Callithrix jacchus: one gene and its partner. The protein of the gene in region 2 interacts with the protein of the main gene of each other region in a biochemical or structural test. Links are inferred from orthologs where the notes say so. Each region holds a gene or a part of one and is shown on either strand. Other genes may lie near its edges.

What was found. The genes of interacting proteins can lie anywhere in the genome.
Region 1: the proteins of CRK (region 2) and DOCK1 form a complex in vitro, tested with the Homo sapiens proteins (3 studies listed by BioGRID and IntAct, with this or other methods). The link is inferred for Callithrix jacchus from reciprocal best matches to the Homo sapiens genes CRK and DOCK1.

The regions. Positions count from the first base shown.
Region 1 is NC_133513.1:120,225,850-120,229,834, reverse strand, and holds the start of DOCK1 (dedicator of cytokinesis protein 1), read right to left. Parts: upstream 2,801-3,985; 5' UTR 2,735-2,800; coding exon 2,689-2,734; intron 1-2,688. UniProt on the Homo sapiens protein: Involved in cytoskeletal rearrangements required for phagocytosis of apoptotic cells and cell motility. Along with DOCK1, mediates CRK/CRKL regulation of epithelial and endothelial cell spreading and migration on type IV collagen.
Region 2 is NC_133506.1:66,780,136-66,784,095, reverse strand, and holds the start of CRK (adapter molecule crk), read right to left. Parts: upstream 2,801-3,960; 5' UTR 2,681-2,800; coding exon 2,440-2,680; intron 1-2,439. UniProt on the Homo sapiens protein: Involved in cell branching and adhesion mediated by BCAR1-CRK-RAPGEF1 signaling and activation of RAP1.

The DNA of each region.
Region 1 (3,985 bases), on a different chromosome or scaffold from region 2:
CAACCCTTCACGTCTTTCCTAGAATTTCCTGGCAAAACCATCCCAGATACTTTTTGCCTTTTAAAATTTTCCAACACAAAGTTTTCTTAAGTTTTTAAATTTTACTTTTTCTTAATCGAGCATGGAGTTTTCTTAAAACCAAAGTATTAGCAAAAGATGTGATGTTAGAAGTCACTACCATGAGTGCTGGTGAAGCTTCTGGAAGGTATGAGACTCAAGGGCTCACAGCCCCCTCCTCAAGGAGACCCTGCTCTCCTGTTCTTTTTGGTCTTCTCCTGTTCTTTTTGGCTACACTATAGGATGGATCCTCACTGACACCATTCAGGTCACCCTGGGAGCAGACGAAAGGGAAAAAGGTCTCCTTTAAAATGTAGTGTCCCAAAGAGAAGCCATCCCCATCTGCAGGCAAGGATAGGACACCGTGGCAGCTGAACCCAGGGTGGCCACACTTCACATTCAGGAGGCACCACTTACTAGTGATGTGAGTTCAAGCAAGCAATCCACCTCTTCCTTGCCTTTGTAGAATGGGAGCAGTGATGGTCCCTACCGCAACCCTGATGACCCCACTGCAACCTCATAGCCCCCACTGCACCCCAATGGCCCTCACTGTACCCTCATAGACCCCAATGCACCCCGATGGCCCCCACTGTACCCTCATAGCCCTCACTGCACCCCAATGGCCCCCACTACACCCTCATAGCCCCCACTGCACCCCGATGGCCCCCACTGCACCCTCATAGCCCCCACTGCACCCCGATGACCCCCACTGCACCCTCATAGCCCCCACTGCACCTCGATGGCCCCCCACCGCATCCTGATGGCCCCCACTGCATCCCGATGCCTCCACTGGATGCCAATGGCCACCACTGCACCCTGGCCATGGGCACTTGAGTTGCTTCCCCAGCAGGCCAGGGCCATGGGATGCCTGCTCCTCTGCCAGCCTCCTGCCTCTCCCACCCGTCCAGTTCCTCCTCCCTGTCTGCGTGCTGGTGCTAGGTTCCCTGGGAGTCAGTCCTCAGCTCTCTCCTCTACACATGCCCCCAGGAGGCTCTCCACCACAGGGACCCCCCACTGTCGCCACACCCCAAGTATTCTCAGCTGGAATCTCCACTCCAAACCTCCCTCCTCTGATGCAGACTGAAGGCACGTGCCAAGTGCCCCAGAATTTGAATCCATTCTGTGGCGCACAGGGTGCCAGTTACACCCTGAGTCTGCAGTCAGACAGACGAGCTCTCCTGCACTTCTGTGAACGTGCCTGAGCCTCCATTATCGCATCTGCAAAATGGGGCAATGGGGAGGGAGCTCAGCCATAATAGTCCTGAAGCAAGGAGGCCCCCTATGCCTCCCTGCACGTGGAACAAGCCAAGCGCAGGCCTGGTGGGACCCAGGGCTGTCCCAGGACTGTCCCCATGGCCACTGTCCAGTCGGCTCCTCGCTCAGGGCCCATTTTAAGTCATTGACACTTTGCCGTAAGAAGCGACTGTTCACAGAAAGGAGAGCGTCCCGGGGACAAGAGCTGCCAGGACGCTTCCCAAAAGTCAGAGGGCCAGGATTCGAACCACATCAGCAGAGGGGCGGGCAAATCACTGTCACCGGCAGTGCAGGCCATGCACGGGCCAGGCACAGAACGGGCACAGGGCTGCTGCTGAGACGGTGTCCTCGGAGGAATCAGCCTGTGGGAGGCGAGACCACCAAAGATTTTCCGAGTCTGGCCGAGCAGCCTGGAGGAGGCAGGAGGTCAAGGAAGCCTGTGGATTGTGGGACAGGGAAAGCAAGGCTGAAAACCAGCTGGAAAGATCCCGGACCCCGGAAAGCAGGACAGCAGCCACCGCCGGGCCAGAGACCAGGCACGCAGGTCCGGAGGAGGTGGACGTGCACAGGCCTCGGTGGCGGGTGCCCAGGGCGCGGGATGCGGGTCCCCGGAGGAAGGGTCCGTCTGTTCCACCACAAGAGAAAACCTCCCTCTCTGGAATGCACACTTGGGTCCGAAATGTAAACTTGCAACCCGACTCCCTCCATCCCCCTCGGAAGCGACAAAGAGCCGCGGAGAGAAAAACAAGGCCCCCCCTCTCCCGGACGGGTCTCCGGGCCCGGGGCCGCCGGGCCTTCTCGGCGAGGTCCCACACGGTCCCCGGCAAGACCGCCGAGGCTCTCGGGGCGCCGGCCGCCCGGGTCGCGCGCGCTCCTCCCCGCCGGGAAAGGGCGGAATTCTCTGCTCGGACCGCGCCGACCTGAGCCCGCCCACCCAGTGCCCGGACGCGGGGCGCAAGTTCATCCAAGAAGCAGAAGCCACCGCCGGACAGTGACCCCCGGGCTTCCCTGCCTGGCCCAGACGCGCCGGTGGCAGCGGCCGGAGCCGGGGAGTCGGGGCCGCCCGGGGGGCTCCGCCGCGGGGGTCCTGAGGAGCGGGCGTCGGAGGGGATCCCCTGGGGAGGGACGCCCCCGACCCCATTCCCACCGCACCCCCGCGGGTCCCGGGCCCGGATCCCCGGGCCTGGAGCGGGCGCTGCCGGGGGCTCGAAAAATCGGGACGGCCGGGGGCGCCGGGCACTGCGCGCGGGCGCGGGCGGAAGCGCCTCTCCCCGGCCCGGCGGCCGCTCGGGGCGGCAGCAACAGGCGCCCGGCGCTCCCGCCCCCCCTTCCGGAGCCAGGGCTTGGGGCGAGAGGCGCGGCGGCGGCGCTGCTCACCCACGCCGTACTTCTCCTCGCGCTTGGTGGGCACCCAGCGCGTCATGGCGCCGCCGGAGCCGCCGCGGGTCGGGCAGGAAACTCCGCGTCTAGGCCGCCATTTTCCATTCCTTTCGAGCCGCGACAGGATGGGGAGGAAAAAGTTTGCGGCGGAGGCGGCGTCATGTGGGACGGGGCGGGCGGAGCGTCGCGGGCCGGATGGGAAAGGCCGGGAGCGCTGGCGGGAGGCGGGACGGCCTTGGACTCTGCTCCCGCCCTCGGCTCGGACCCTCAGCCCGGACCCCGCGGCCGCCGGGGCGCCCCTTCCTCGGCCCCCGCGCGCCCAACCCCGCGCCCCGCACCCTGGCAACGCAGCGGGGGTCTCGTGGGTCCCTGGAGCTCCCGGGACTGGCGGTCACGCCGTGAGAACAGTGCGCCCTGGGGGGCGGGACGGGCTGGGGCTTCCACGCGATGTAGGAAAAGGGCGGCTTGCCCGGCGCGGACTTAGGCCGGAGCCTGGTGGTGCGAGGTCCCTGGCTCGGATTTCTCCCGAACCAACCGGCCGAGGCCCTAGGAAGGGCCCTCCTGAGCACGTGGCTCGTTCATTCATTCGACAAACATTACCTGAGCACCCGCCCACCCATTGCCCGAGTGTGCTGGGAGCGCCGCACCGGCCGGCTGGCAGGTGGGAAAAGGGACGCCTCGGGTAACAGCACGGGTAAGTGCCAGACACGCAAGTGGGGTGGAAAGAGGTGGCACAGCGCTGCTAGGGAGTGCGTTCCGAACAGGTGACCTCTTGCTTGGGTTCTGAATGAGTGGAGTTTTCCAGAGAGGCCAGGAGGAAGCAGCCCAAACCTCAGCCCAGCTGGGCTTGCAGAAGCTAGTGCTAGAATAGTTGTGGGACTCAGATCAGCTGAAGTAGAGGGGAGAGGGAAGCAGGGAAAGGAAAGCCCAGGCCACGCGTGGGACTCAGGAAAGGCATCCTCGCCCCTGGTGGGAGTTCTTCTCAGGCTTTGGTGTTTCCCATGCCAGTAAAAGGTAGGGGCTTCAGATTTCTCCAAGGAAAAAGTTAAAGCAACACACACCTATTTATTTTTATGGTAATTTCCTAAAAGAAAAGAGGCTAAAACCAAGAAATGGGCAAAGCCTCCGAATGAAGGCGGCCCTTTAAATGAAATGAATTTGGTTTCATGGCACATTAAGGGAATGTATTCTCTCATGGTACATTGATGGGGTATCTTCTCTCCCAAGACACGGAGACAACTGCAGTAGGTCTCAGGCCTCCTTCGATTGGAGGAACGAAGGGAAGAAAACGAAG
Region 2 (3,960 bases):
AAGGATGAGCGGTGCTCATGTTACTGCATTCCAGCATGGGTGACAAAGGCCCTGTCTCAGAATCGAGAGAAAGACAGCAACTGAATCATGGAATACAGGGTACATGGCAGAAAGAATTATCACAATACTTGTGAATTTTCCACACCCCGTCCACAAACTTTGGCAATCTTCGCCTTCTGTCCTGGGCCAAGGAACTGAGCTCTTATCTGTTTTGAAAAGGTGGTGCTCAATATCAAAGTAAGTGCTGAGACAGAAAATCATTACACTGAGGTGTGAAACAAAAGGCTGAAAAGTGATTTCAATCACAGTTTGCCATCATGTTACTATGTGAAATGCAAAACCCTAGATACCATGCAGGTGGCATCAAAGTAGAATAGAATCTGGTTAAAGGCAAACACATGTGCATCAATATTCCCATCTCATATTACAATACTATTAAGCTGGCCAGAATGAGAAAGACCCAGAATAATTTGTGAATATAAAGACCCCATATTCATTTTTAAAAACTGTTATGTGCTGGGCCAGGAGTGGTGGCTCATGCCTGTAATCCTAATATTTTGGGGCAGGCGGTTCACCTGAGGTCAGAAGTTTGAGGCCTGCCTGGTCAACATGTTGAAACACCGCCTTTACTAAAAAAAAAATTAGCCAGGCGCAGTGGCGCGTGCCTGTAGTCCCAGCTACCAGGGCGGCTGAGGTGGGAGGATCTCTTGAGCCCAGGAGTTCTGGGCTGTAGTGCACTATGCCAATCCGGTGTCCGCACTAAGTTCAGCATCAATATGGTGACCTCCCGTGAGCGCGGGACCACCACGTTGCCTAAGGAGGGGTGAATCGGCCCAGGTCGGAATGGAGCAAGTCAAAACTCCCATGCTGATCAGTAGTGGGATCGCACCTGTGAACAACAGCCACTGCAGTGCAGCCTGGGCAACATAGCAAGACCCCGTCTCAATAAAAACAACAACAATAACAAAACAACAAAAAAATACAAAAATTAGTCTGGCGTGGTGGTGCGCGCCTGTAATCCCGGCTACTCGGGAGGCTGAGACAGGAGAATCGCTTGAACCCAGGAAGTGGAGGCTGCAGTGAGCCAAGACTGCGCCACTGCACTCTGGCATGGGCATCGGAACAAGACTCCATCTCAGAAAAAAGTAAAATAAATATTGGTATGTGTTAACCACAAAGAAACTGCCCATCCAGTTCTCTATTTCTGGCCAGAAAGTAACTCTAAATCAGAACTATCCTACAAGGGCAAGCGTACAAAGGCTGACTCAGGAGCTTCTAGATTCATAGGAGGCTAGCCCGGAGCTAGTCTAAGCTGGCAGAGAAGCTGCTTGGACTTGGCAACAGCGTGAAGGCACGAGAAGTCCTGACGCTGTTCCACAGACATACACATCTAACGGGACCTCAGAATGACTCTGCACCTCAGTCTCCAGCACTAAGGACACAAATCTACTCCCTTAACCCTCCCAAACAACTCAATGTCACCGGCAAGGCAGTCACCTCCCTGGGGTCCCCGGCAAGGAAACCCCGTGCAGACCATTCATGTCCTCTGCGCAGTCTGTTCCCAACATCCAGGAAGATCCAGCCCGCAGTCTCGGCTCACGGGGCAAGGTCACGCCCTGGAGTACACACGGACCCTGTTCAAGCCCAGGGAATATCAAGTTCCAGATCCTTCCAGGGATGGGGCTGTTTCCATTGCCTCACTTCTGGTTTACTTTCTGGAATAAGATGTCTTTCCTCCACTAAACACTGAGAACCAGAGCCTATAACAGCGGAGGGCAGCCTACGGGGACGCTTAGATCGCTCCGACACCGCCAACATGCCCCGACAGCGGGTCGGACTGGTTCCTGAAGGCGTCCTCCGATCACCCAGGCACTTAGTTCACCCCCTTCGTCCTCAACCGGGGAAGAGGACGGTGGAAGTATTTTGGAAAAATGCCCAAGAAAGGAAAAAACGGACCGGCTTCCTGAGGGTGTCTCCATCCCTCCCGGCCAGTACGTGGTGACTTCCCACCCCAGGCCACCAGGGGAGCACGGCCAAACCCGGCAGGAAACGATTCCAGCCTAAAAGCCACTTGCAGGATTACCGGATTCATTCTGGGCACCGCTGCCAAGGGATGCCCCCGCAGTGCCAACAGCTCCCTCGGCTCTTTGTCCGCACGCTGCCCTGCGCTCCCTCCCCGAGCGCCGGGCCCGGGAGCCAGCCCCACCCTGGGCCGAAGCAGTTCCCCTTCCCCGGGCCGCTCTCCGCAGGCACACCCAGGGGCCTCGGCCCGCGGCTCCTCCTCCCGACGCTCCCGCTCCCCGGCTGGGCGCCGCGGTCCCCCAGCCCTCGGCCCGCGACCCCCGAGGGTCCGCTGGAGCAGCAGCCGGCTGGGCTGCCAGTTCCGCGGGCCTCACCACGCCCAGCCCCCGCGTCCCGTCCGTCCCGTCCGTCCCTCACCGGACGGCGGCTGCGCGGGCGACGGCGGCACCGGCGGGCGCGGGCCGCTGCTGTTGATGATGTAGTGGGAGACGCGCGAGTTCTCGGACACGCTGAGTACATAGTCCCCGGGGCTGGTGCTCGAGTCCCGCACCAGGAAGACCCCGTGCCGCTGGCCCTGCAGCAGCGCCACCGCCTCCTGCCGACTCAGACGCCCCCAGTACCAGCTACTCCGCTCCTCCGAGTCGAAGTTGCCCGCCATGGCTGCCTCCGCGCCTACACGCTGGGCTGCCGCGCCGCGCGCGCCCCTCCTGCCCACGGCGCCCGCCGCCCAGCAGACCGGCTCCGGTTTCAACCTCACAGCAGCGCCCGAAATGGCGGCGGAGGCCGCGGGTCTTCCCCACCGGAAATGACGCGCTCCCTGCCCTGGGGAGGCTGCCGGGAAAGGGCCCGCCGCCCGCCATTGGGAGAAGGGCAAGGCGGCCTCGCGCGCGCACTGCGCATGCGGCCTCATGGGCGGTGCCGCCTGGCCGGGCCAGGGGCTGGGAGGCGGGGTCTAGGGCGTGGGGGCGGGGTCTCACCGCCTGCCGCAGAGATGTGCGCCTGCGCCACTGGCCGCGGTGGCCCTTCCCCCACCCCCCACAACCAGGCTATCGTTCACGGAAGGCCTGGGTCTTCTAGATAGCGACTCCCAGACAGAACTGGAGGAGAAAAGATGCATGTAACCCCCCCCCGAGTTTTCGGCCAGGCTTCCTGAAGTGTCGGTCTGTTTCTTTTTTTTGAGACGGAGTCTCGCTCTGATGCCCAGGCTGTAGTGCAGTGACGCGATCTCGGCTCACTGCAACCCCCGCCTCCGCCTCCCGAGTAGCTGGGACTACAGGCGCGCGCCACCACGCCCGGCTAATTTTTTTGGTATTTTTAGTAGAGATGGAGTTTCACCATGTTGGCCAGGCTGGTCTCGAACGTCTGACCTCGTGATCAGCCCGCCTGGGCATCCCAGTGTGCTGGGATTACCGGCAAGAGCCACTGCGTCCAGCTTCTTTTTTTTTTTTTTTTTTGGAGACGGATTCTCGCTTTGTCACCCAGACTGGAGTGCCGTGTCGCAGTCTCTGCTCACTGCTACCTCTGCCTCCCGGGTTCAAACGATTCTCCTGCCTCAGCCTCCCTAGCAGCTAGGACTACAGGTGCCCACCACCACACCCGGCTCATTTTTTAATTTTTAGCAGAGATGGGGTTTTCACGTTGTTAGCCAGCTGGTCTCAAACTCCTAACCTCAGGTGATCCACCCGCCTCGGCCTCCCAGAGTGCTGAGATTACAGGCGACAGCCATTTGCGCCCGGCCACGTCGGTCTGTTTGTGTGCATTCCTCTCGCTTCTCCGCTGACGTTCTCGTTTCCATTTATTCATTCAGCATATCGTTACTGACACTCTGCCTGCACTGTGGGTGCAAAGGTGATGGAGGCCAGGCCCTGCCCTCCTCCAACTCACAGACTAGTGAGAGGAACCAGGAAACTGGATGACAAAAGGATGACAAATGCTGAC